2 linked regions of the Macaca fascicularis genome follow. The protein of the gene in region 1 purifies or fractionates together with the protein of each later gene. This does not show direct contact. Links are inferred from orthologs where the notes say so. Each region holds a gene or a part of one and is shown on either strand. Other genes may lie near its edges.

Region 1 (14,372 bases):
CGTCAGCCGCCCGCGAGCTCAGATTCGGCTCCCTGCCACACCACCAGCTTAGGGTCGCTCTACGGAAAGAAAGGGGACTGGAAGCGGTGCGGCGGGGGAGCTCGGGCTTGTTGCCGAATGGTCTAAAATAAAACCCAGGAAACCCGGATTACAGCCCTTCGACTCAGAGCGGTTCCACTGTTTAAGGGGCAGCTGCGCGCAGGGTGCAGAGAACAAGGCTCCGTCGGCTCCGCGGAGAGCACACCCGACCCACCGGGGTCACCCCTAGGGGGCGCGATGCAAACCCTCCCATGCACAGGCTCTTCCACGCGCGTCCCTACAGCCTCCTCGACTGCCAGCCCCAGCCCCAGCCTCCATCCTTCCGCCTACTTTTTCTTTTATAAATGGGGGTGGGGTGGAGAATAAGGGAAAAAGTGAGCTTTCTCAATTGCGGCGATAATTGTGCGCGGGATGGGTTTCTTAATCTGCTCATCCATTATTGACTGCTCCTCTAATATTTGGCTTTGCCGCTTTGATCGCCAGAAGATCACATACTTGACTCCTTTGCATAACAATTTTGGGGCGGGAGTCATTGGCGCGGGAGGGGAGGGACGTGCCTAGAATGACTTTGTGGCCGGTATTCCACCCCTACCCCATCCCTACCCCCAGACCCCCGGCAGGAAGTGAGCCCAGCCTTCCCTTTACCGAGCCCCCCACCCCTAACTACCATTCACGCTTGGAAAGTTCTAGCCGGGGCGAAGAGGATGCTGCTAACTCCCTGGTGGGTGGAGGAGAGGTAGGAATCGTAGGAGCCCTAAGTGGGATCCGACAAGGAGAGGGATTGTACTTCCCTCTCGTCCCCACCCTCACTACATTCCCAGCCCCAAGAGATAACCTCCCCTCCTTCCTCCCACCTCCGACACCCACCGGGAAGGGGGTGAACCCTTCCTGGGGATGAATGGAGTGGAGGTGGAAGCCTGGGGTAGGAGACCATCATCCCCCGCGCTCTCATCTGGGACTTAGGCTGCAGAACAAAACTGGGACGCCCGCGGCTTCCGAGCCGGGTTTGGCGAGCTCTGAGACCAGTGGCGGGCTCTGTGGGACCTCTACCTAGTCCCTTGCTCTCTTCGGGGTCTCAGTTGCCTCATTTGTGGAGCGGGCTTTAGGTCTCTACGCTCCCTAAGGTCCCTTTGATCTTGACCTTGGCACGTGTGGCCCACCCTCCCCTCAATCAGGGCTTAGGGCTGCTGAGGTGGGTCTTGGTGGGAAACAAAAAAACAGTTGCTATTTTAATCCGGGTTTAAACAACTGTCTCCTCTTTCCTGGCATAGGTCAATGGCAGGGGTAGAGGGGGTGGTTTGGAGGGAGGGATAGGGTAAAAGGTGAGGTTTGGGGTCAGAGCCTAGGGTCGTTGCAACTTCACATATTTCACTTCCAAAACCTCGGTCACTCCCCAGCTCTCACAGAAATTCACTCACGGACACGCACACACGGAGACTATGCACGTGGACACGCACACACACTTTCACACTGACACAGCACAACGCAACCACACGAGGATTAGAGAGACAAAACGCACACAATTCTTGCGTGCACACTCGGGCACACACTCGGACTCACACACGCACCCAACTAGAGCCTCTCAGAGTCACGAACAAACACGCACGCGCGGGACTACACACTCGTTCCCCTCCCAGCTTTCTGCTGGAGCGGGGGACCAGGCAAGATGGCCCGAGAAGGCCTTGGCATTGCAGTGACCCCCTCCCGCCCCCCACATCCGATTCAATATGAGGAAGGAGGTGGGGCGGGGTGGGGTAGACAGACGGGTTCTCGCCCCTCTCCCCCAGTCCCAGGCTCATGAGACTTTCCGTTCCCTTACCGCCCCACCTTCTGTACTAAACTTTTTCCTTCCACATCTTCCCGCCTGGGCCCTGCAGCGCCGACCTCTGCTGGAACCCAGAGCTTTTCTTGCACCTCCCCGGGAAGAGGGTCCCAAAGATGCACGCCGGAGGCGCGGCCTGGATCAGGCTCTGGAGCCGGCAGAGGCAGAAAACCTAGGCGCCGAGAGCCGGGTGCGCGAACTTTTGTCTCCTTTTCCAGGGTCGGTGGGAAAAGAGCCCGGGGACAACCAACCCCTCCCCTACAGGAGTCAAAGGGAAGAGAAGGAAGACAGTTAATTCTGGGACAAGCAAAAAGAACGGTTTTGGAGTCACAGGAGCTTTCCTGCACAAAGGACTTGGATGTTGTGGTTTTTTTCTTCTTTTCTGGTGTTTTTCGTTCCCAACTTTGAAGTCGGGTTCAGACCTCCTGGTGACCATGGACTGAGCGGAGGGGTGGGGGCAGCAGAACCCGGAAGCCGCGCTGGCCCCTCCTCAATCGCTTCCACACTCTCACACGCCCAAGGCCAGTCGGTGTGGACCCCGAACCGCGCCAAGCCGGATCCAGGCGGGAGCGGCCACTCGGACAGGTGGGGAACAGGGGTGGGAGAGGGTACCCTAGGCCTGAGGACACCGACCTCGGGGAATCTTCTGGGGAGTGGGAGGGAGCCATACAGGGATAAAAGCAAAATAAAAAATAGAAGAAAATTCAGGCACAGACACGGATTTTTTCTTTTTTTCGGGGAAAGGGAAAGAGATTAAACCCAAACTCGGGTCTGGGTTCTGGGGTTTGGGTGGGATTCAGTGTAAGCATAAAAAGCGGGATGTCAGATTAAAGTGAAGAAAAATAAATAGGGAATTGTGTGTAGTCCTCCTGCTTCCCGGAGCAGCGAAGTCTAAAATTCTCAGCTCCAGAGGCCTGTCTGCCTGTGTGATAGAGTCCCAGCGAGGTTTGAAATTCCGGGGGGGCGGGGCAGTGAAGGCTACTCTTCCCGTAATCCGAGCCAAGGGGCCCTGCGTCCAGCTCCCGGATCATCCCCGCACAGCCCGAACGCTGCCTGCAAACCCGCGAGCAACGACAGTTCGGGTGTTTGCACCCTGGCGCCGTCTGCGCTTGGCGCGGGCCTGTGGACAGCCCGCGGGGCTCAGAGAGGAAACCAGGGCCCCAGGAGCGCTTTCTGATTCCTGGCCACCGGGTGCAATTTACAGAAAGCATCGGTATCTTTCCACCGTTTCCCACGGGGAGTCAAGAGGAGAAAAGTCTCAGTTTGTCTGACTTGAGAGAGAGAGAGAGAGAGAGAGAGAGAGAGAGAGAGAGACTATTTCTAGAACAAAACTGTACATGCTGTGAACTGCCTCAGATAAGAAGGAGAAAACTCTGGAGGAAGACTGGATGGTGGGGACATAAATCCAAATACTGAAATTCACGAAGGTGACAACATCCAACAGTGGGCTTTTTCTCGGGCTTTCCAGATACCTAGACATTTTTAGTCTTATTTCATATATACAGAAAAAAAGAAATCCTCCCTGTCCCTCATCCCCTTCATGAAATGCTCTGGGTCCTCTACAAACAAAGCTGCTGCCCCAATTTCAGGAGTCAAGGGAGCATTTTATTTTGTCAGCGGAGCATTTTATATTCCATGGTTTACCTCCCACGCACCCCCCACCCACCGGCTTTTTTCCTTTGCTGCCTCCCCTAGTCCCACTCCACTTTGGACAGAATTGCTTAGGATCCCTAACCAATACCCAACGAATCCCCCAGCACCCACCCACCCCCACATTATTATGGGCTCCAAATGAAGACCAAGACCCCGAGTGCTAATTGAATTAGTCTATTGAAAAAGACTGTCAGGTACAATGACGTGACTCGAGGCCCCACATTTCCCAAGGTCTATAGGCTTTGGGGACCTGCGATGTATAGTCTGACCTTCTAGCTCATAATAACGCGGCACTTGTAGCAGAAATCTCCTCGCATTCACTCCCAACAAAACCGCTGGTCATCCAGTCCCCGTAGGAAGGCTGCACGCTATTGTGTTGCGACAACTCATTCATGTCCCGCACCACGAGGCCCCACCGCCATCTGATCTACACTCGAAATGCGATTACCACCCTGTGCATGCAACATGCTCCTACTCCCAGTCCATGGCGCACACCCCTCGCCAGGCTGCAAGAATTTCTTTCATAATTCTCCTTCTGGTCCTCATCCTTGAAAGAGAGGTGGAAACATGCAGGACCCTGGTATTTGTCTCTGCCTACACAAAATCCAAAATTCTATGGACAAACAGGCTGGTCCTCTTTTCTGAACAGCATACACCAAAACCCTCAGCAAATACATTTCTTCATGCCTGACTAGTGGGGCTGACTTGGGTGTACACATTAACGTTCACATACACACAGGGGTCTCCTGCCACACACAACTATACACACACACACACACTACTTTTATAGACTAATTTTCTCTCTGGGTGGCTCTCACAGACCAAGCAAATAAACACAAATATACACTCTTGTCCCCACAGCCACGGGCCACTCTTCAAGACCGCTGAGTGTTTTCCCCAAAATTAGAAAAGGGGAGAAAGAAAGGTAAAATTTCTCAGTCTTCACTCTAATAAACACATGTCAGTCTTCCGACTACATGATTCCCAAACCCCACTAGCTAGCAGCTCCCCAAACATGTATGCATCATTCTCCTCTGTTTGGCCAGGTGTCTTTGGCTCAGTGGGAGCCCCTGACTATCCTCAGAAAATGCAGGAAGTCTAAGGACGGGAGAAGGGAAGGACGGTTGGGGTCTCTCTCTGTCCTATTTACCCAACTCCCCATCACTGAAGGCCTCTTTGGGACCTCCTTCGTTCAAGTGAAAAAAAGTAGCACCCCTCCCCCAACTTTGGCATTTGAGACAAAACACTCTATATCTTCCTCGTCATTCTCCACTTTTATCTGGGCTATCCCCGAGGAAAGGGGACTTGGGGACAATCAACTTACTGCAGAGACACAGCCCAGTCTATGGCCTTCTGTGGGCCTCTAGCCCAGGTGACTGCATAGCTCAGAACTGCAAAGCCATAGAAAGGCGCACAGGGTACCCCCACACTTCCATATCTTTGGCCCAAGAGCAGATGGCATTTGGAGAAAGGGGCTCCATTCCATTTGAGTAAGGCTTCCCCACCTGCTACCCGCAGGCCCACCTCTCTGCCACCCCGGCCTGGGCATCAAGTTGAAAGTCATTCCTTAGCTCCCAAAGGCAGAAACGAGTGCCCCCAAAAGGACCGCCACACAAATATAACCACTCGTGCAGATACAATCCTTCACACACACCCTAACCCTTTACCCACATACTTGTACACACAACTCACCCTGCCCGTAGTTCCTCACTCACATGCCCAGCCCCGGGCTCACTCAGAGTTCTGTGAACCCCTCACCCATCCGTCTCGGCCAACATTTGTTCACTCAGCCCTCACACACTTCACTTGCGTGCTTGCCAAGACGCCAATGCGCTCACACAGAGTTCTCAATAGCATGTTCATTTGCAGGAGGGAGAGGAGGGCGTAGGGTCTGGGTGGAGGTCATGGAGCGCAGGGCGGCGCGGGGTACCGAGCGTCCGGGCCAGGCAGGGCCTGGGGGAGGTGGGGGGACTAGCCAGCGCGCAGAGTGCCGCCTAATCCAGCTCGAGCTCGTGGGCCGCGGGTGCATTTATCATCCCATTACTGTAACAAATCCGGGCTCCACTACATGAAAGGTAAAATGAATTACCGACGTTAAGCCGTCAATAAAGTCATTTCTGTAAATGGCGTCTCCAAAGGGCCGCCGCATTATTCAGCTGGCTTTATCAGCTGGCTGGAAATTACGTGGAGGAGCCGGGCCGCGCGGCGCGCGGGGCCGCTCACTTTGATTAAGCGTCTTGCCAGCGCGATGTGACAGAGCTTTTGACCAGGGTTTTATTCACAGGCCTGTGATGAACGCCAAGCTGATCAGGCGGAATGAAGAGTAATTAAAACCTATAAATTATCTTCCGCAGCCCTTCTCGAGGCGTCTCCTGCAGGCGAGATAAGGCGTCGAGACCCTATTTACCGCGCTGAAAGGGACCGCGGTGCACAAAAGCTACGCGGCTAAATAGGATATTGATAGTGTCCTAATTAGAATTTAATTAAGTACCCACGCTTGCTTGCGGGATAAAGATTTCAATTTTGCGAACTTAAATATAAATAAAATCCCACCCTCATTTCGGGGAGAAGGGGTGGGGGCGCCTGGAGATTTCGGGGAGCCCTTGGGTGTGCGACTGAAGAGGACTCGGGAGACTCCAAAGTGGGGTTGGAGGCGACTTGGAAAGGTTGAGAAGACTGTAGCGCAGCGTTAGGGACAGAGGTTTTCTCCCCTAGGCTGCAGCGCAAGTCTAGCCGGGAACTCAGCCCCAGAAATCGGGGGACCCTCGCCTGCTCCCAAGATGCGGTGAGCAATACGAATTCCTGCTCTCCACCAGCCCTTTTGAGAAACTTCAGCTACTGCGGTGTTGGTTCGACTTATTGTGGGTTTAGTTGCATGTTCCTCCTAGCCTAACCCCCTGTGACTTTTCTGGAAAACTGGAGGTAGGGGGATTATTTCGCATGTCACAAATAGACAATATTTCCAAAGAGGTACTTTCTCTACTGTCCCAGTTGGGGAGGGCGTTCAGGGCGAGGAGGTCCGCTGGAGCTCTAAGATGACACCCCCGAAGGCCTCGTTTGCCTTTCTCGGCCACCGCAGGCTTCAGCAGAGTCCAATACTGGTCCTCCAAAACGACTCCGGAGACAAGTTCCGCAGGTGCCTAGAGCTTCAGTCCACAAGCCACTCCCGTCCCTCACATTACCGGTTATGAGAAAACTCTGGGGGTGCCTCAACCAGGAAACAGCGAAAAAGAGCCCGGCAGACGGGAGAGTGATAGCAGCTAGAGGAACCGCATTCCCCTCAAACTAGGGAAGAACGCCAGGGCTGGAGCCGGAGGCACCCAGGGAGTTGGGAGCAATCCCAGGAAATTCAGTTACCCCGCAATTGAGGGAAACTCCTTGTTCACAACGTCAGCTGGCCAGGGCAAACACTTGGGGTGCAGCGCTTTTATTTATTTGATTTTACTTTGCAGGGAAATCTAACATAGAGGTTACCCTGAACTCTAAAGCTAGGGCCTAGCGTGCATCCGCGTTCTGACTCGCCAGCGCGGGGGCCCTCCTGAGATTACTCTGCGTTGCCCGGACTCCCACTGCCAGGGAAGGTCCAGGCGGCTGGCGCTGGGGCTATTCCGAGCCCTCTGGGCTTGGCGCTATGGCGCCAGGACAGCTCCAGGGTGTTGTCGAAAGTCTGGACCGGGAAGGGCATGGGTGCGGATTCCCCACAAAGGGAAAGCAATGCAGCGGGCCGGCAGGAGACGTACAAACGTAAACCTGCGACGCTAGCTAGGCGCAGCGGGCCTTTCAGATTTTGCTATTTGTGAAAAATAAATTGCGCCTCTGAAAGAAACCAACTCTAGGTCTATTTCACATCACCGACCTCCTTGTCTCACTCCCCCTCCCTCCACTACACACACCCAAACCCACACCTACCCACAAACACACAAACCGGCAGTGACAACAACCACTCATCCTTCATAACAGCAACCAGAGAGAGAGGAGAAAATAAAGAGCTGAGGTTCTTAGGCGTGGGGGTGTAAAACAGCCAGGCTCCTGCCTACTGCCCCTGCTCCCGGCGCGCACAGACCCATAATCCTGCGTTTCTCCAACAAGTTGTTTATGGAGTTGCTTCTCCATTTGCCTACATCCCAAAATCCACCCCTCCCGGGTTTCTTCTGCCCCCTCCTCGGTCCCGGCCTGAAGGAGGGGGAGGGGCGCGGGTGGGGGAGGGCGGACCCGACGCACAGGGCCAGCGCCGCGGCGCCCCCTCTCCGCCCGCGGCTGACGCCCTCGGATTATTTATCCGCAAAGTCCCGCGCGCACCCATTGGGCCGAGGCCCGAGTGTCAGCGCGAGTCCCGGCTCGCCATTGGCTCCGCACACGTGCGGCCCTGACTCACGTGCTTCCGGTTTGAAGGCAAAAAGTGTGCCTGGGTGATTTTTTTTTTTTTAAGCGAGAGAGTTTGTGCAAAGATCCTAGCTGTCAGAGATTTGAAAAAAAAAAAAAAAAAGAGGAAAAAAAAAAAAAAAAAACCCAGCCCGGCGCTGGCGGAGACGCGCTCTCCCTGCAAAAAAAGCAAAGGCGATTAAAGGCGCTGCCAGCCTCACGCTCTGGGCACAGCTGAGCGTGACACTCGGGGAAGTCAAATCCCTCACTACTGCCTAGGAAGATGGCTAGACTTTAAATACTATTTTTTTCCCTTTAAGAAAAAAAATTATTGGAGCTTTTTTTCTTTTTTTCTTGCTTTCTTTTTCCTTTTTTCTTTTTTTCCTTCATTTTTTTTTTTTTTGGCCGTGGCTTACTCCCCATTTAAATCAAATCATTGAATCTGGTTGCAGAAAGAAAAAAGAAATAGCCAAGTGTCTCCATATCTGGATGTCTACAAATTAGAGAGGGAGAGACAGCGAGATCTATCTGCTAGATAAGAGCGAGCGATCCAGGCCAGACGCCTGAGATTTTTTCCTGCACCCGCCCGTGCCTTCGCTGGGGCTTCGCCTGCCTCCTTCCTCTGCGCACCCCCACGGGCCGCTGGCAAAGTGGGGTGGGGAGCGAGGCGGTGGGGGCGGGGGCCGGCGCGGCGGCCGGGGCGGCGGGGCGGCCGAGCATGGAAGAACAGCAGCCGGAACCTAAAAGTCAGCGAGACTCGGGCCTCGGCGCGGCGGCGGCGGCGGCGACCCCGGGCGGCCTCAGCCTGAGCCTCAGTCCAGGCGCCAGCGGCAGCAGCGGCAGCAGCGGCAGCGATGGAGACAGCGTGCCCGTGTCCCCGCAGCCCGCGCCCCCCTCGCCGCCCGCGGCGCCTTGCCTGCCGCCCCTGGCCCACCACCCGCACCTCCCCCCACACCCCCCGCCCCCGCCGCCTCAGCATCTCGCGGCGCCTGCTCACCAGCCGCAGCCAGCGGCCCAGCTGCACCGCACCACCAACTTTTTCATCGACAACATCCTGAGGCCGGACTTCGGCTGCAAAAAGGAGCAGCCGCCACCGCAGCTTCTGGTGGCTGCGGCGGCCAGAGGAGGCGCAGGAGGAGGAGGCCGGGTCGAGCGTGACAGAGGCCAGACTGGCGCAGGTAGAGACCCTGTCCACCCGTTGGGCACCCGGGCGCCAGGCGCTGCCTCGCTCCTGTGCGCCCCGGACGCGAACTGTGGCCCACCCGACGGCTCCCAGCCAGCCGCCGCCGGCGCGGGCGCGTCTAAAGCTGGGAACCCGGCTGCGGCGGCGGCGGCGGCGGCAGCGGCCGCGGCGGCAGTGGCCGCGGCGGCGGCGGCGGCCGCAGCAGCCAAGCCCTCGGACAGCGGCGGCGGCGGCAGTGGAGGCGGCGCAGGGAGCCCAGGAGCGCAGGGCACCAAATACCCCGAGCACGGCAACCCCGCCATCCTACTTATGGGCTCAGCCAACGGCGGGCCCGTGGTCAAAACTGACTCGCAGCAGCCTCTCGTATGGCCCGCCTGGGTCTACTGCACACGTTATTCGGATCGTCCATCCTCCGGTGAGTACCCAACTCCGGGCTGCGCCATGCTTTCTGGCCTCGCGGACCGCCCCAGAACGCCAAGCTGCGGCGCTAGGGAGAGCAAACCCGGCCTCGGGTACTCCAGTCTCTCACGCCTGCTTCCTCACCCCAGTTCCAGCCGCAACCGAATGTTCACCCAGCTATGCGATCCTGGCCTCTGCGGCCACCACCCGAGAAGCTACAGCTCGTGGCACAGGAGGCTCGAGTCTCGATTCTTTGGTTTTGAACTCTGAATCCCTGGGGCCTTCTTTGTCTTTTATCTTTATTATTCTTAGGAAAAGTACACAGTCAATGATTTTGTTTCCAGGGTGTTTAGATATGGCAGGAAGTTGGGCCTAGTGATGTGTGTCTGAAATCCCACCAGCCGGATCGTCCGGGGGCCAGATTGGACCAGAGAAGGCCTTGTTCAGAAAAATTATATTCACAGTGTGTCCTTACAAACACAAACACCATCTTGATATTTTCTGCGGAGTGACCGTTTACACTGATAAATATGGGGACACAGAGGAAGACAGGGAGGAAAGCGTCTGAAAGCCGTCCCTCTCCCCTGGTCGGGTAGCGAAGAGTCTGACCCGGGTGGGTAGAATCCAGGGAAAGGCAGTTGCCAAAAAGGTGGGTGCTGGCAGCCTCTGGTTTTCTGGAACTGACAAACAGTGGGAGAGGAGAGAAAACAGGTCAGGCTCAGGTCAGAAAGCCGGGCCAAGGGTATGAGAGCCAGTTTCCTCCGTAGCTTCTCCGCAGAACGGCTCCCACATCCTCCCTGCCTGGCACTTTCCTTTTTTCACCAGCACATCCAGCAGTTAGCAGATTTCTGGCATCCGTGGGCCTGTTTTTCTCGGCTTTCCTTCCACTGCATTTTCGTGTGCCCCTCGCGCTTGGCGAACCCGAGGAGGAGACCTGAGCTGGGCTCCGGAACAGGAGGCCAAGGCCTGCCCGACGCCCAGGCCCGCAGTGTCTGGGAGAGCAGCAGAAGCTTTGGCCCAAGATCAGCACTCCAGGCGCCGGGTCCGGCAGGGGGCCGGGAACAACGTAGCCACGCGCCGCTTTCCTCTGGCTGGTCTCTCGCCGCCCCACCGCTGCCGGCCGGGCGCGGATCGATGCGCACTATCAGCTCCCGCCATCTCGAGCCCCGTTATTGACACGTCGGGCTCCCTGAACCTCCGAAAAGCTGCTTTGATTGACTCGCCTGATGGATAGAGTGATTGAGCTGTCAGGCTGCACGGCTCGGGCTGGCCGGGAGACTACGATTTTATTACAAGAGTCCGTGCCTCCGCACACGCATACAACAACACTTCAACATGTCCCGGATGCACAACGCGCAGTGGTGCCTTTTTGGGGTTGTGCGCATTTCCTGGGCTATTTCTCCCCGCTCAGCTAATTACGAATCTAAACCCCAGTTCTGCTCTGGAGAGGGCCTTGGCTTTGTTCTTGGCCACTTTCCTTCTTATGGGCCTGGGTAGGTAGGGGACCAGCTCCTTCTCCTGCTTGGGCAGTTGGGGGAGGAGGGGATGAGCCTCGACCCAGATCTGAGTCGCTGCAGTATGCTAGGCCTGGACTCTTTGTCATAGGACAACTGGTTACCCCAGGCTCTTACCTGCCCCAGGAGTAGGCTGCCCAGCTTGCCTCTCTGTAGCTAGGTTTGGATATGCCGGCAAAGATCCTTCTTTCCAGACAGTTTTAGAGGTGAACAGGCCTGACAGGGACTTAACTTGGTTCAGCAAGCTACCTTATCCAAGGCAGGACCCAGCAAGTAAATGCCAGAAGACTTGGGTGTGGAAGCGGGTGGGCAGAGGTGCAGGCTTTTGAGGCACACACGAACAGTTCAATCCTATCCTGGTTTTCCCGCTTTCCCTCCTTCCTTTCTCAGTGGACCCTCCTCCCAGACTAGTATTTGAAGGGAACTTCACCTTCCTAAGGAGGTTTCCTGTGGCCCCTTCCCATTCCTATCTGGCGGTCAAAGCACTTTTTTTTTTTTTCTGGATTGTCCCTGTCTCCCTTCCTCTGCTTCTTTTTGCTCATGGATGGGGGAAGGGGCTGCAGTCTCCTTGCAGATGTCATCAGTAGGCAGAGAAAGCCAATCTGGCTTGTTTTTGTTATTCAGAAGTTTTTAATCCTGAAATTGCAGCGGCTCAAAGGGGAGATAAGGAAGACCCAGATAAGGGAGACCCTACCCCACACAGCCCGTTAGAGGATCCAAGGGGCAAGGCTGAAAACCCAGGGGCCAGGGTCATGAGGATGGATGAGGGCCTTTTCTTCTCCTTCAGAGAAGGGGTGGTCCCTGTATCCCTGAGACACTAGAAAAGGCTTCCTTTAGGCCAAAGAGAAAGAAGGCAAGGAGGTGGGGGGGGGGGCGGGGGGATTGCACAGGTAGACACCAAGTACTTTGGAGCTGAGCAGCCTTCTCCCAGCCCGCTCACTATCCCGTTGTTTTCTGGGGTCAATAGCTACAAGCAGATGGTATCTTATTGTAGGTTCTCCTGTAGGTACGATTCTTGTGGAGGAGAGGAGGATTAGTCTGTAGGCTGGTGACTCCCCCAGGGCCTGCCCCTCACTGCCCTAGTCCTATCTATTCCAGGGCTGTAAGGACAGCAGGCCCCTGACCCCCAACTCTGGGCTGGGCCAGATGAGCTCCAAATATCTGGTCATCTTGGATTCCTTCCTTCTTGGCCGGAAAATGCTGTGATTTCGGTCTGTCCCTGACTGTCCTGTGAGAATTGGGGTGTGGGGTGCACCTACAACCTCAACCAGCTTTCCTTCACCCTTTGCCCTCCCAAAGGGAACCCGGAGACCCCAGTGGTCTGGCGAGGGGCATTTTGATCGAGGGATTGGCCGGCGGGAGGGAGCCAGGGGTTCAGCAGGGCCTCCGAGATGGCCCCGGAAGCGCGGGGCTCGCGGCCCAGCTCGGCAATGCAATTCTCACCGCTTCCTTTGCCCTCTCCCCCCTCCCTTCTGCCCTCCGTCCCCACCCCCACCCCCACTCCGGCCCTCTCCGCCGCTGCAGGTCCGCGCACCAGGAAGCTGAAGAAGAAGAAGAACGAGAAGGAGGACAAGCGGCCGCGGACGGCGTTCACCGCCGAGCAGCTGCAGAGACTCAAGGCGGAGTTCCAGGCAAACCGCTACATCACGGAGCAGCGGCGGCAGACCCTGGCCCAGGAGCTCAGCCTCAACGAGTCCCAGATCAAGATCTGGTTCCAGAACAAGCGCGCCAAGATCAAGAAAGCCACAGGCATTAAGAACGGCTTGGCGCTGCACCTCATGGCCCAGGGACTGTACAACCACTCCACCACCACGGTCCAGGACAAAGACGAGAGCGAGTAGACGCCACCGGCCGGGGCCGCGCGGTCAGGCCGCCGTGCCCGCGCCGCCTCCCGGCACCGCCGCCGTCGCCTCCCGGCCCCTAGCTGGGGAAGAAAGCATCTGCTCAAAGGAGGGAGGGAGCGAAGGGAAAAGAGCGAGCGAGACAGAAAGAGAGCCTCAGAATGGACAATGACGTTGAAACGCAGCATTTTTGAAAAGGGAGAAAGACTCGGACAGGTGCTATCGAAAAATAAGATCTATTCTCTATTCACAGTATAAGGGACGAAACTGCGAACTCCTTAAAGCTCTATCTAGCCAAACCGCTTACGACCTTGTATATATTTAATTTCAGGTAAGGAAAACACATACGTGTAGCGATCTCTATTTGCTGGACATTTTTATTAATCTCCTTTATTATTATTGTTATAATTATTATAATTATTATAATTATTTTATCCCCTCCCCCTCTGCCTCGCTGCCCCCGGCCCAGTTTCGTTTTCGTTGCCTTTTTCATTTGAATGTCATTGCTTCTCCGGTGCCTCCCGACCCGCATCGCTGGCCCTGGTTTCTCTGGGACTTTTCTTTGTGTGCGTGAGTGTGTTTCCTTGCGTGTCTGCCCACCTCCTCTCCCCCACCTCCTGGGCCCCTTCTGTCGGTCTGTCTGTTCTGCCCCCCTTTCGTTTTCCGAAGACTTGTTGAGAAATACGACCCCACAGACTGCGAGACTGAACCGCCGCTACAAGCCAAAGATTTTATTATGTTCAGAAACCTGTAGTCTGAAATAAAGTGTACACTGTGCTCACGAGCGCTGGCGGCCCTCCTGTTTGCGGGCTCGGGAAGGGCGTGGGTCCGAGCACACAGCGTCTCAGCGCCCCTGCGCACGCCGGGCCGGGAGCCGGCGGGGCCTTGCGATCACCGCACAACGAATGCAGGGGCGAAGGGGAAGCACGGCCCAGATGCGGATTTGGCCTGGGTCTGAAGGGTCTGGCGGGACACGCCTGGTTTCCGATTGCGTTCAAGGGAACTCAAAGGCCGGCAAACCCAGTCCTGGCTTCGGAAATGCTGCCCGGGTTACCCGGCAGCTCCCCGCACCGGTCCAGGCCCAGCCCAGCAGCGGCCTCCTCCTGTACAGCCTGCTCTTCACTCCAACCTGCACTTTTCTTTTTCTTTTTTTCTTTTATTCCCTCTGGTGCAGGTTTTGCTGCAGATTTTTTTCATCCAGAGATAGAAGGGGGCCTGCCTTCCTCCCTACCCAACAGCCCGCTTGGGCGAGGGGCACTTTGGCATGGCCTCTCGGCCGCCTGGACTCACTGCACTTCGTTTGGGGGAGGGCTTCTGTTGGCGAGGCAGCAGGTCCGGGGGCAACCAGCGGAGTCTCGCGGGGCTCGGATCTCCTGGTCCCACAATGCGGGAGGAGAGAAGGCCCAGATGCTGGGAAAGCTGTTCGGAGTGCCTGGAACCCGAGGTGGGCGCGGGTCTGCTGTGTCTGGGCCCTAAACCTAGGAGGGTTCCCTTAAGCATCCCAACAAAGCCTAACTTTCTTCTTCACCAAGGCGGGGGGCGCACGTAGAAGCCCCCAG
Region 2 (14,470 bases), on another chromosome or scaffold:
CAGGCAGTGTTTCATCAAGCCCCAAAATACTGTTCTTGCTTTTCTGGGGCATCTCGCTTGTAGACAGGGAAAGCTCTGGCAGAAAGGCTCTCTGCTTGAACTACTTCAAAGAAACTAATCATGAATATATCCTATTAGTGTGAAAATCCCAAATTAATCAGGTAACATTAACACATAGGAGTGTGCCGTACATGTGCATTACTTGTAAACAGACTTGGTCGGGTGTGGTGGCTCACGCCTGTAATCCCAGCACTTTGGGAGGCCAAGGCAGGCAGATCACGAGGTCAGGAGTTCGAGATCAGCCTGGCCAACACGGTGAAACCTCGTCTCTACAAAAACTACAAAAATTAGCCGGGTGTGGTGGTGGGTGCCTGTAATCCCAGCTACTCGGGAGGCTGAGGCAGAAGAATTGCTTGAACTTGGGAGGCGGAGGTTGCAGTGAGCCGAGATCACACAACTACACTCCAGCCTGGGTGACAGAGCAAGACTCCGTTGCGGGGGGGCGGCGGGGGAGAGATATAAACAGACTTAGGAGTAGAAGGGGCATTAATAGGCAGAAGAACGTGGTACAATGGGATTTATATCTGCACTCCTATGATTGCTTATAAACACATGCTATTTTAGACTGACATCTTTCTCGAAATATAGACTTAAATAAACAGAAGTTCGGCCGCAGCTGAGGTGGTGTTCTTCTGCAGGCCTCAGACACAGTCAAGCATTTTTAAAAACGTGATTGGTGGGCTAAGAAGTTTATCCGCCTGGTTCCTCAAATTCCCAAACAGTTTATTTGAATACTGAGTGAATAGCTAATCTTGTACAAGTTCTGGGGCTTTAACAAGGTAAACGAATGGGTGGGCTGTGAAAGTAAACACTGCATTTCCTCCCAGGCTCACCCTGGCTTCCAAAATTCCTCTCCCTCACTCCTTTCGCTCTCCCCAGCCTTCTAGTTCCCAAGCTTGGTCTCTCGTATCCTGTGAAAGTACTGAAATTGCAAAGGAGACATTTTTAATTATAAGTACTACAGTAATGAATTCAAGTACACTCGTTTATCATAAAGGGCTTTCCCATCTGTCTCTAAAGTATACTTAAAAATGCTGTGTATTTGATAACATTAGCACCAAGCATCTTCCACATGTTAATATCCAGCGTTTTAGATGTTCGCTCCCCCCACCTCAAAAGACCGCACAGTGGTGGTTCCAGAAAGAGCACATTTATCTCTCCGTGTTTGGGAGTGCCTGTGTGGTCTCTTCCTAATTTATTTGCACTCCAATCCTTGGGGATCTCATCGCAATCCCCCTAGGCAAAGGGAGATTAGGGAATAGGACTGTCTGCTTCTCCCCACTCTGACAGAGAAGGGAGAACAACTTCCCCAAGTCCCACAAGTTCTTCTGGCCACTGTACAAATTGTTCTTGAGCATGGAGGGTTTCCAAAAGCCCTAATTAGCAACTCACAGCAAACATTTCTTTGCATTAGCTAATGATCCGGCTGCACTTGTAAGCAAACAGAACCCACATATCTAATCAATGCTGAAAAACCAACCAAATGCCTATTAAACATCTGGATGTAATTTTCTAGTTAGAACAAAATGAAAACATATGCAGGTTCCTTTGATCTTCGTCTTAACAAAGAAATTGTTGATAAAAAAGCATACTGGTCAGTCAATGTGTCATTTTCATAAAGTCTGCTCATTTCTCTTCAAATGCTCCCAGTTTAATTTAGTTGGTTTCCTGCAATCTCTAATTTTACCATATTGTGTGAAACCGCAAGAGATTCTTTGGAAGTGATTTTATTTGAGGTTTTACTGCTGCATGGATCTGCTACTGATTTTTTTTTTTCCTTCTCTGCCTTCTTCCCTCCACCTCCACGTCCATCTTGTCCTTTTCTTTGGTAAAGGGGTGGGGGAGAAAAAGATTACAAAGCAATGCTGGGAACAATTCTTCTGGACCTTACATTCTTAGGTTTAAGAAAACTCTCAATTAAAAAAAAAAAGAAAAAGAAAACGTGGGGCAGGGTGGCTCATGCCTGTAATCCTGGCACTTTGGGAGGCCAAGGCAGTCGGATCACCTGATGTTAGAAGTTCGAGACCAGACTGGCCAACATGGTGAAACACTGTCTCCACTAAAAATACAAAAATTAGCCGGGCATGGTGGTGCATGCCTGTTATCCCAGCTGCTCAGAAGACTGAGGCACATGAATCGCTTGAACCTGGGAGGTGGAGGTTGCAATGAGCTGAGATCACAACCACTGCACTCCAACCTGGGTGACAGAGAGAGACTCTGACTCAAAAAAAAAAAAAAAAAAAAAAAAGGAAATGAGAAAATTAGCAATAATTCTCAGCTAAAATGAAGAGAACACAACAAAAGTGGTCTTTTAAAAATTATAATTATTAGCCAGGCGTGGTGGCTCACACCTGTAATCCCAGCACTTTGGGAGGCTGAGGCGGGCAGATCACGAGGTCAGGAGTTCGAGACCAGCCTGGCCAACATGGCAAAACCCCGTCTGTACTAAAAATACAAAAATAGCCGGGTGTTGTGGCACATGCCTGTAGTCCCAGCTACTGGGGAGGCTGAGGCAAGAGAATCTTGAACCCAAGAGGCAGAGGTTGCAGTGAGCTGAGATGGCGCCATTGCACTTCAGCCTGGGGGACAGAGGGAGACTCAGTCTCCAAAAAAAAAAAAAAAAAATTACAATTATGATTTCAAATAAAAAAGTAATAGATTTAAAAGATGTCTAGTTGCTACAATCAGCATCCATAACTTTTCCTATTTTGTGTAGTATCTGTACTAGATAACATCTAGCTTTTGCAATTACTTAGGCTATTGCTGAGTTGAAAATTTGATAATAAGCAACAAATGAATGGGAATATACCCACATATACATCAAAAGAGAATGAACAAGCTGACAATCTTTGTGTTTCTCTGCAGAGCATAAAAAGGGTACCGTGTTTTTCAGAGAAAATTTCCAGTGGAAGCATCATACATTTCACATAAAAACATCATTGACATACGAATGTTAAAGGTAAAGAAGATTACGGTTAACAGGCTTTAAATGGAAGACCAAAATTATAGATTTCATAAGGAGGACTATTTTCTTTTAAACAGGCTGTAGGCAATCTGCACATATATTATTTATTTAAAACATAAGATTAAAGCTACTTGACTGTTTAAACACCATCATTTGTAATGCAGTTTGATGAGAGTTTTGTAGTATAATTATTACAGCATGACAATCATGGAGAAAATATGACCTTGAAAAGGGCAGAGCCTTCTCCCACTCTGACAGACGATGCTCTAAATGGGAAGAAAAGGCTTCAAAAACCAAAACCAACCATTTTTATGCGCACAATTAAAGGCCTTCCAATTTTAAATTCATAATGATCTGTAGATACTAGATACTACATTATAAGGAAATCAGAAGGCCTGGTGTTTTCAAACTCTATTGGCAAGGAAAGACTAGTTAAAAGAGAATTTCCAGTGTTTACTCATGGCAAACTGGGAATATGGTGAGCAGACACATTGTCTGTGAGTAGATACATTACAGAACATTTAAAGATGCCTTAGAACTGATTTTGAGGGCAGCCGGGTGGGGAAAGGAGAAGTAGCAACACTTTTGCCCCGTCTCAAAGCATATTTTAGTGGCTCTGTTTAAACTTAATGAGAGTGTGCCAGTTATTCAAGATACAGGCACGTAAAGCCTGGGTAAGCTGCGGAGGAGTATCAGTTGCTCCAGTTGTCACAGCATGTATACAAGCATACTTGTGGCATCCAAGCACTTTCTATCCAGTCCTGGAGCTGATAAGGGATGAACTGGCTGCAGACTGGAATATGTGGCTCGTACATTAGATGATTTCAAGGAAAACAGGTTGCTAAAGGCCTGGGGTCCTATGATTCCAAAAAGTCCTGTATGTCGAGCAAAACTCTCATCATCACCAAATTTAACCAAAGAAAGTGAGGCAGTGCTTTCTTCTTTTTTGTTCTCCATGTTAGCAAAATGAATAATACAGCCGCCTTCCCAACTGTACTTAATGAGAACACCACAAAGCTACAATGCCCAACTTGTTTAAGAATTTACTATGGCTTCGTACAGACAGGCTAAAATAGCTTTTTTATTTTTCATTTATAATTGATATTTGGGAGTGATGCAATTATAGATAAATCAATATCATACATATTTTATTTTTTATTTTATTTTATTTTATTTTTTTTTTTTGAGACGGAGTCTCGCTGTGTCGCCCACGCTGGAGTGCAGTGGCGCGATCTCTGCTCACTGCAAGCTCCACCTCCCGGGTTTACGCCATTCTCCCGCCTCAGCCTCCAAGTAGCTGGGACTACAGACGCCCGCCACCTCGCCCGGCTAGTTTTTTGTATTTTTAGTAGAGACAGGGTTTCACCATGTTAGCCAGGATGGTCTCGATCTTCTGACCTCGTGATCCACCCGCCTCGGCCTCCCAAAGTGCTGGGATTACAGGCTTGAGCCACCGCGCCCGGCCCATACATATTTTAAAACAACTCCAACAGTGAAATGTATTATCTAAAACAACTTCTAAAACTATTTCAAGAAAAAGATCTCTGTAAAAGCACATCTTTAAATAAAATGTATGTCTCTTTAAATAAGCTCCTTCCCATAAGTCTCTTGAAAGTAAAATAATGGGAACGTGGGGGTTATTAATACCAAAAACTTAACTATTTTCCAACATAAGATAAATACTTGTCCAAGATGTGCCCTTATAGAAAAAGTTACCACCGTTTGGCTAAACCAGCATTATTCACTCACTGCTCATGTGGAAGTAGCTCCATTGGACTGTTCTTCAAACAAAAGTATAAATGCAGCAATACTGACGGTTTTCTGCTGTGGGTGTATTTAGAGACATACACAAAAACCGAAGACTCTCAGCATTAATTATACAGCGTGTCTTGATTATTACAATCTCAAAATCCCTTTTAACTCAAGTTCTACTTCATAAGAACCGTAGCCACGTCATTTACCTAACTCTTCCCATTTAGCTCTTCACACAGCTCAGCTCAGGAGTACCACCCAGACTATGGGGGTGGGGTGTGCGGGACAGGTTTTTCAAGTCTCAGTGCTGGTTTATTACATTGTCTCTCTTTGTTCCCAGGAATTGGAAACAGACTCTTGGTCTTGTAGCTGAGAGGCTCCTAAAAACCTCAGCCGCTCCCCTCCTCTCCTAACAGCGAAGTCTGGACTTTTAAGACGAAGACCTGGGATTTCACGCCCCGGGCAAAGCGTCTCATCTGCGGACACGCGTGCCTTGTTCTGGCAGCACCCTGGGAATCCTTCCCGCCAAACGGGGCAGGACGATCTTTTTGAAAAGTGGCTTGAAATCCTGCAATAAAAACCAAATCCTACCACTTTGGGTGCAAAGGAGGTGGGTGGGGTGGGAGGACATCATAGTCGTCTCTGCGGCTGGTGTACCTACGCCAACCGTGCCGTTGCTCATTTACGCATTTCCAACTAAGTGCACAGTCCACTCCCTCTCGTACATCCGTAAAAAGGCAGCTCAAGGAAAAACAAACGTCAGATGTATTTTTCAATGTGGCCTCACTTTCAGAGTAGCATCAAACAAGGGGGTCCAGCACTGAAAAACACATTTGCTCGAATTACCAAAACCCCCCCTCCGCCTCCAATAAGAAACTACGCAGCTAGTCTTTGAGTTACTTTCACTTAGATCTGAGGATTTTCATTAAAGGGAAAAGTGAGCAAGTGGCAGGATTTTTGCTAACTCGAGCCCCCAGCTTCCTCGGCTGCACGCTCGCCAGTCCCTCCCGCTAGCGCGCTCCTGCGCGCTCTCTAGCCAGCCCCACGTTACTTTGATTGACAGCCCAGCCCCGCCGCTCTCCTTCCCACCGACCTTCCCATCTTCAGTGCCAATCTCCGCGAATCGCCTCTTCCCATTGGATGGTTTTGCCGTCCCGCGGCTCCTCCAGGAACAGTTCCTCACCAAGCCCGGGAGGACGCGGCTGGCGGAGGAGGGGCCGGGGTGGGAGGGGAGACCGAGGAGACCGCGGAGAAGGAAGCGAGAGGACGGGGGAGGGAGAACGGCCCGTCCGGCGCTGCGCTGCCATAGGCTCCGGGGAGGCGCGCGTCAGCGCCCCACGTTGGGTGCAGCGCACGCGATTGGCTGATGAGGGCCTCCTGCCCCCCCCCCCACCTCCTGGGCCCACGTCCCCCGCCGGCTCGGAGCTCGCGCCCCCCGCCCGAGCGGGCTGGGCGGGGCCGGCGCTGGTTAGCTCCGGAGTGTGAAACCGCGTGTTAATGTAACCGGCGCGAGAGGCGCGGGCGGCGGCGGCGGCGGTGGGAGCGGCGGCTGCAGGAGCAGCAGCAGCAGCAGCAGCGGCGGGTACTCTGTGCCCCGCGTCCCGGAGGCAGCCGACTGCGCCACCCCACCCTCGCACGGCCGGGCGGGACCCGCGCCACCAGCCCGGACCTCCGTCGTCCCGCGGCGACCAAAACCCCCGCTAGCCCCACCGCTGTGACTACTCCGGACTCGCCCGCAGAGTTTGCCCGCCGGGGAGGGTGGCCGATTGGCGGAGCGCACTCCTGCTGTTTTCCCCACCATCTCGTGGATGTCGTCCCTCGGGTGGTGAGAGAACTTTGCAGCGGGCTGGAGCGCCCTTTGCGGAGAAGCAGAAGAAGGTAAAGGAAGGAAAGAAAGAAGACCGAGGAAGAAGGGGCTCGGAAGAAGGGTCCAGAGCGGCCGAGCCGGCCGTGCAGGGCTAGTGCGCGCGAGGCGCGGCGCCCTGATGCTCCTCGGGCTCGAGGAGCAGCGGGCAGTTGCTGGACTGCTCTCGGTGGAGTAGCCCCGTCGGTCCCGGAGGGTTTGTGCAACGGCGGAGAACACCGAGTGTTGGTCGCACGGGGCGTGCCGAGTCGCCTCCCGGCGCGCCCTCCGCACTTTCCCCGCCTCGTCATCCCTCGCTCCCCGGCCAGGAGCCTCCGCCGCTTCCTCAACCTCGCTCCCCTTTCCGTCCCGGGAGCCTGCGAGCACCTGGCCGAAGGCGCAGCCGAGTCTTGCGGGAGTCGCCCCGAAAGCGTCGGGTTTGTTTGTGTGGGGTTAGCGGGGGCCGCCTCGCCACCTGCATCTCGCCCGCCGCCGCCTCGGGGAAAACCCGAAGAGGAGGCGGACCAGGAGAAGAGCAAAGAAAAGCAGCCCGTCTGGATTTGTTTGCCCAGGACTGGCGCCGCGCACGCGGATCGCCGAGGGGAGTGCGGTCGGAGTCACCGCGCCCCCGCCTCCCCGCCCCGGCGGCTGAGGCCGGGGGGTTGGAGCGCTGCCCCCGCGCACAGTCCCCGAGCGCCCGGCGTCTCCGCGCAGGTTCTCGAAGCAGCTGGGCCTGGGGCGCCCACCAATGTGGCCCTGAGGGCCGGAGCCCGCACCGACGGGAGCGGGAGCAGGAGCAGCTGGGGGCGCCGAGTGGCCGGTGCGCCCGGCCGAGCGCGCCTGCGTGCGTGGCCAGCGCGCTCCCCGCTTCTGCCTGGCTTCCCGGCTTAATTTTCCTCGGCGGGATTAAAGTTGGAAATTGACCGGAGAATTGAGTTGCCGGGGAACAGAGCCCCGGCCGCCGCCAGAGCGATGTTCCCGCAGAGCCGGCACCCGGTGAGGCGCGGCTGGGTGGTGGGGGAGCAGGAGCGTTGGGGAGGCGCTTCTCCCGGGCGGTAGGGAGACGGGTGGCTTCGGCGGCCCGGCGGACCCTCTCGCCCTCCGCGGCATAAGGCTGGGGAGGTCTGGGGCCCTCTCCTCTTGGGGTGGGGAGTGGACTGAAACTCTGAATTTTCTCCCTCCCTTTGGGCTCCTTCCTACTTGACGTCTATACTGAGCGGATAGGGGCGCTGGGGAAGGCTGGGGTTTCTCTCCTGTAGCCATATCCCCCCAACCTTCCCCAAGGGGGGCAGGGCGCCCCCCCTTTGTTTCTCGTCTCGCCTATTTACATGTCAATGCGGCCCCGGTTCCGGTGCGTCTGGAGGTGGCCCTGGCGACTCTGGGAATGGGGAGCGTAAAGGAGTTGTTTTTCTCTTCTGGTCCTCCGGGTCATTATCGCCCCCGTGGGGGAAGGGGCGGCGACACCGACAATCTGGCCTGGTCTAACCGGGCCGCCGGGGAGCCCCCTTCCCTTTGGCCTGGTGACCCGGGCGCACTTAACGCGATCCGCCCTGGAGACTGGGAAGAGCTTCCGAGCCTCTTTAGAAGCCGGGGCCCGGGGAGGGTCCACTTTCCCCCTCCCCCAAGTGAAGGGGAAACTCGAGTTTGGGGCCTCATTTTCAGCCACTTCTAACTTTATTTTTTGTTTATGTCCCACCCGTTCTTTCCTTCTCTGACTTACTGCTTTATTCATCCGCCCGCATTCCCGTCCCTCGGTCCCCCTCGCTGGTCGCCCCCAGACGCCGCACCAGGCTGCAGGCCAGCCCTTCAAGTTCACTATCCCGGAGTCCCTGGACCGGATTAAAGAGGAATTCCAGTTCCTGCAGGCGCAGTATCACAGGTGCGTGTCTGGCCGCTCCAGGCGAGTGGTCGCGGGCGTCCCCGTGCCCCTTGTCGCCCAGCCGGGTGGCGGCGGCGCCTGTACTTAGTTCTTGCGTCCAGGCGGTGGCGTGTGGAGTCTCAGTTAAGACCTGTCATTCAAGTTACCCCCTTTCCTGGTTCTTCCCGGGCCGCCTCTTCTCTTGTCTCCTCCTCCTCCCATTGTTTCCCTTTTGCTGGTTTGCTGCTGTTCCAGGGAGTCCTTTTTCGTGTCTTTAGAAGTTGCATGAGAATCGTCAATATTTGCGCTTCATGTATTTATTTTTCAACAGACTGAGTTGAAACATTGGTTCAATCGATGTCTCAGTCCTGGAGTGTGGGTTCAGGGAAGCAAAGCCATGTTGAAATCGCTGTTTGCCATACTAGAAAATTGGGTTTTTGAGGCAAAGTTCATTAAAGAAGGCTAGATGCTTTTAACATTGCCCATCATTGGCGATGGTGAGGGAGGTGGGTATAATAGTGTGCAGAAGAAAGCTCACCTGCTTTGGCGTCATTTCAGGTTGGTTTGGGTAGGATGGGAGAGTGGAGTCACATTTATATCCATCTCAGCCTCAGTTTCTCTGAGTAATGAGGCTTGCCTCCAAAGGACTTATACATTTTTGTAAGATACTCTGCCAATAGTGAACTTCCCAGAAAGGTTAGTTTCTTTCCCTTGCTCCTATGAAGTTTTACCTGATTCTAACTCAGAAATAACTGTATTGACATTTTTTGGTTTTGTCATGCTTGAGAAAAAGCACACAGATGAGGCGAAGTGGCTTGGGTGTGAATTTTCTTACTTTGTCAGGGGCTTTCTGATTATTGACCTTTTGTCTACTTGTAGATAATATCTCTGCAGCTTGAGGCATACTTGCACACACCGTGTTTACCCAGCAGGGAGAACTTCAACCCACTTTATTGCAGTAGCTACTTGACATATTTTGGCAGGGATTTAAAAACCAAAGGTTTTGAAAGGGACTAGCAATTGTAGGAGTAACTTAACAGATAGGATTTTCAAACCTAGAGACCGTTTGAGTTGGCAAAGATGGCACAGTCTATGCGTAAGAGTGAAGATTGTGCAAGGGCCGGATTTTGGTGGAGTCCAGAGAAACTGATGCAGGAAGGTAGGGAGCAGATGACCATGAGGAGGAATCAGTTAGAGGTTCTGACAGATTTTTTGCATTCTTGTCATCTAACCAGATAGGCACCAAGAAGAATGGTAGCTGAATGGACACCTCGTATTGTTCACATTATTCCTTTTCCCTATTAAATGCAAGGACAAAGCTTTTGGGTGTTTACCTAGATAGTTTATGGCTTTTCCAAATTGGTCTGTTTTTACTTGAAGTGCAAATATGTGAGGCAGATGTTAAAACAAGTGACATAATGTTTACATTAAGTTGCCTGTTTTGTTTTCATAGCCTTAAATTGGAATGTGAGAAACTGGCAAGTGAAAAGACAGAAATGCAGAGGCACTATGTGATGGTAGGTATCAAAGAGTCGACTTTTTCCCTTTTCGTATGATATTAGCAAACGTGTTAGCAGAGTATAAAAAATGTGAGTTAATGAAATGCTTGATTCTTTTTTCTCTTTACAGTATTACGAAATGTCATATGGATTAAACATTGAAATGCATAAACAGGTAAGCTTTAGTTGAACTTCAAGCTGAAATGAGAAATCAGTTCGTATGATTTTATAATACTGGCTTTGTTCTCAGTAGTGGGCTCTAGGAGTGGGGGTTTGTATGCTATTTTTCTGCCTTGGTTTCCTGTCCTGTGGATTGATGGTAGTATTCTGCAGCAAGAGTTGCTTCCTGATAATTACGAGTGTTTAAATGACTAGGAGAAAGAGAGGTGTTTTGGAAATATAAACTAGCCTGTTTAATGGCAGATAGGAATTGAGACTTGAGTTGACTTTTCCACCTGTATAGATTTATCCTCTTGAAAGGGCTGGGTATCTTATAGAGTTGTTGAAGTTTAGAATAGTTAATGTTTTTGTGCTGTTTTGCAAGGATGTGTGGACCTGTAGGGGGAAAGAAGGGTATTCAGGAGTTTCTTTAATCATAGTAAACAAAGTATATGACTATCTGTGGAGTATTCCTTATGCTTTGGGTCTGCTCGAAGCAACAGTCAGGATTAGTGGCTTATTAGCAAACAAATTTTTGAAAAATTTCTCAGTTGTTGCAGGTTTGGATGTGAAAAAAGCATCTTTTTATGGCCAGAGCATATGTTGGGAGTTGCTTCAGTCCTAGTGGTTTTAAAAGCATGAAAAGATTAGTGACTGGAAAGCTCTAGCAATGACTATGAGTTTGCAAGTTCCCATAAAATTCACACTTATGGCTACTATAATGGTGTATAAAAAGAGTATTGAGCTGGAACAAGGCACTAAGGACCTCATAAGAGAAGAAAAGCTAAATGATTGCTCAGCCCAAAGGACCCTCGATTGAGTAGTCATTGTCTGCCAAAGAAAGCATTAATGGCAGGGTGTAAGTATTCTGGAGATATGCTGACATTCACTTTTTCATCAAGACGCTGGTACAATAAGTCTTTTAGAAATCGATTGCCTCTTAAAAAATTATCATCAGATGAAGTTGCACAGTTGGACACATTTCAAAGTGCAACAATACAATTCTTACTTGATGTATATGTGCTATTTCATCTCAAACCCTTGTTTCATTAAATTAAAGAGCATGGCTGACCGGCTGGGGCACAGTGGAGAAATTGATTAGTTCAGCCTTCAGATCTTCCTTATATTCAAAGACTTTCATTAAGCAAGTGTGTTTCAGAGTTGAATTCTGCTTTTGTAACTCTGCACTCTTTGATTTTTAATTCATCATAGATTTCATAATGTTAAGTTATCGTGTACATTAGATCTGTTCTCAGATATGTGTTTGGAAAGAGATTGTGATGTTCAGGGCCTTTTATTAGTAATGTAATTGGGCCTTTTAAAAATGCAGATTTTACTATGATTTGCAAAGTTGGTAGCCTACTTTATGTTGGGTTTGTGCCTTTGTTTTTGTGTGTTTCTCAATGGCTAGTGCCTTATTCAGGCACTTGTAACTTGTTGATAGTAAATGGGCTAGAAGATCTATGGCTAACGTCTATCATCATTTAAGTGAATTATGCAAATAAACTTGGCCTAGGCTGTTTAATTTTTTTTTTTTAATTACTCTGAAGGGCACTTTTTTTTTGGATAACACATTATGGAAGAGTAAGAGGAGACTGAGCTTTTTCTTAAATCCGTGAACTCAAAGGATTTAATAACCTCATTGACTCTTTTATAAGGAAACACCCCCTCGGTGTGATGCTATATGCTGGTGCTGGGTTTATTGGAGGAGCTAAAAGAGGTGTGTAATTCTTCTGGGTTCCTGTAGGTTATGTGGCGGGATGACCTCTTCTTTATCGTGTAGGGAGAAGGGGTGAAGTGGGTCAGAAGCACCATGGTGTGAGAATAGTTTTCTAATGAGTTTCTATACAGCGTGAGGCATTTGTGGGTATATGCTGTCCGTCCGTGAGCCTGTATGCATTAATAATATGCTGTGTATAATTGGCTTAGCAATTTGAAAAACGTGAAAAGCTGAGAGACACCATGTTCCTCATAGTAGGGTATTGAGCCCCCTGAAATTTAGTTGATATTGGAAATGCTGACAGACCCTTAACTCGAGTGGTGTGCAAAGTAGTGCTATAATTCAGTTTAAAGTGGCCTTACATTTGAAAAACATCCTTCTGAATGTCACACATTAATAATAAGTTCTGAGGAGGCATTTGGTGCAGCTAGTAATCATAATTCTTATTAAAACTGGTGACGTCTGGCCCCCAGGGTGTAGCCAGGCTCAAATTGATGCTTTTTGCTGCCTGATCACCAGCATGGCCTAAGTGCTCATTATATTGTAGAGAGGGCCTTTGGAGCTCTCATTAGATTTGACAGGAATTCTCTCTAGGGGGAAACTGGGCATTAGCGAGACTCCTGACAGGCTGAAATTATTCCTGCTTTATGGCTTATAACCAAATGCTAGCGAGGCATCATCAGGGGACACAAAAAATTGTCATTTCTGACAACATCTTTGTTACTGAAAAAAAAAAAAAAAGCAGTGAAGGGGAAACTTTCTGTACAGAGAGCTTTAATGCTGTTAAGATTTGTCTCCAGTGTGACGATCGCTCTCCCTTCCCACCTTTCAACGGGTTTGTCGAAGGAGTGAGTTCTAGAGATTTCATTGTCAAATCTCACTGCTGACTTTCCCGTCTGGAAGTTTTAAAGTGAAAGTGCATCCAAATCAAGAATGGTATAATTGTGGTTTCCTTCCCTGGTGTGGTGCCCACAGCCCGTGTTTACGTTGTGTCAACACTTCCTGATAAGCCTTCCCCTTAACTTTCTCTGCTCCCATTTGTGGCGGGTTACCGAAAAGGCACTGAAACAGGAATGGTAATAGATACTTAAATCTTTTATGGTAGCACTAAGAATATTTTTTTCTTAGAGCCTTTTATAGATCCCTGCCTGCCTGTCTTTATCTGTGTGGATGGTAAACTCTAGATATCGCTATACAGTAGAGGTAGACAGTGTCTCCTGAAAAATTGAGGCAGTTCTGATACCATCAGAGTATTAGGGTGCATTAAAAAACAACTAGTTGTTGTGAGCCTGGTGGTTTGCTTAGCTATGCCTAGTGTGTGTGGTGGCGTGATCTTTAAATGTTTTTATCTGTCATATGGCTTGATATTACCTCATTTGATATTTTTGGGAACAAGATGTACTGTAAATGCACACATAAGCCTTATTTTAGCCCACTCGTGTATCTCTTCAGCATGCTGATGAAGCCATGCTATAAATTGTCATTGGTGGCTTTAATTTGCACAGTAATGAACAGTTTTCAATGTGATTTGTCTTCTGTGACCTCCATAGGCATCCTCCGGCGTGGATTGGGCAGGTGTTTTGCTCTACCCACAGCTGTGGGCATGTGTTCAAAGCCTGGGACTTGCTCAAGGCCAAGCATCTATTGAAACTTGAGTTGGGTTGCCTCCTCCAGGGTTGTCTGTACTGCTTCTTCCTTTTTTTTTTTGAGACGGAGTCTCGCTCTGTCCCCCAGGCTGGAGTGCAGTGGTGCGATCTCTGCTTACTGCAACTTTTGCTTCCTGGGTTCAAGCGATTCTTGTGCCTCAGCCTCCCAAGTAGCTGGGATTACAGGTGCTCGCTACCATGCCCGGCTAACTTTTTTTATTTTTTATTTTTTTATTTTTAGTAGAGTGAGGGTTTCACCATGTTGGCCAGGCTGGTTTCGAACTCCTGACCTCAAGTGATCCACCCACCTTGACCTCCCAAAGTGCTAGGATTATAGGCATAAGCCACCACACGTGGCCTGTCTGTGCTTCTTCCTGTCCCCTCATGCTGCCATCGGCAAGATGAGGTGGACCATGTCTCCCTAGTGCCTGCCTCTTCAGTTCTCAGTCTTTGTGCTGATCAACTTCATGATTTATAAGACATGTCAGGGCTGGATGTATGTTCTAAAAGTTAGGAAAATCAGCAGTGCTGCTGACTGGTCTTTTCGGGGAGAGGAGGGTTACAGGCCATAGGTAGGTAAAAAGTTGTATCCTACTGAGCAGTACTGTCCTCGGGTTAAAGTACGTTGAAGAAGAAACAAGTCAGGAATCCTGGTGGAGGCGCAGTGATGGGGAGGGAGTTTGCTCAGTCACTCTGTGCCTGCGTTCTGAAGAGTGGGCAGAGTGAGAGCATTGGGCTCTCCAGGATGGTGAAGTTTGTTTTTGTTTTTGTTTTGAGACAGAGTCTTACTCTGTTGCCCAGGCTGGAGTATGGTAGCCCAATCTTGGCTCACTGCAACCTCCGCCTCCCAGGTTCAAGCGATTCTCCTGCCTCAGCCTCACGAGTAGTTGGGATTATAGGAGTCCACCATCACACCTGGCTAATTTTTGTATTTTTAGTAGAGACCGGGTTTCACTATGTTGGCTAGG

What was found.
Region 2: the proteins of EN1 (region 1) and TLE1 purify together in Homo sapiens (affinity purification with western blotting; 4 studies listed by BioGRID and IntAct, with this or other methods). This does not show direct contact. The link is inferred for Macaca fascicularis from reciprocal best matches to the Homo sapiens genes EN1 and TLE1.

The regions. Positions count from the first base shown.
Region 1 is NC_088386.1:12,927,443-12,941,814, forward strand, and holds EN1 (homeobox protein engrailed-1), read left to right. Parts: upstream 1-7,940; 5' UTR 7,941-8,594; coding exon 8,595-9,474; intron 9,475-12,496; coding exon 12,497-12,813; 3' UTR 12,814-13,711; downstream 13,712-14,372. UniProt on the Homo sapiens protein: Required for proper formation of the apical ectodermal ridge and correct dorsal-ventral patterning in the limb.
Region 2 is NC_088389.1:112,327,051-112,341,520, reverse strand, and holds the start of TLE1 (transducin-like enhancer protein 1), read left to right. Parts: upstream 1-6,273; 5' UTR 6,274-7,592; coding exon 7,593-7,616; intron 7,617-8,398; coding exon 8,399-8,499; intron 8,500-9,931; coding exon 9,932-9,995; intron 9,996-10,107; coding exon 10,108-10,152; intron 10,153-14,470. UniProt on the Homo sapiens protein: Transcriptional corepressor that binds to a number of transcription factors. Inhibits NF-kappa-B-regulated gene expression. Inhibits the transcriptional activation mediated by FOXA2, and by CTNNB1 and TCF family members in Wnt signaling.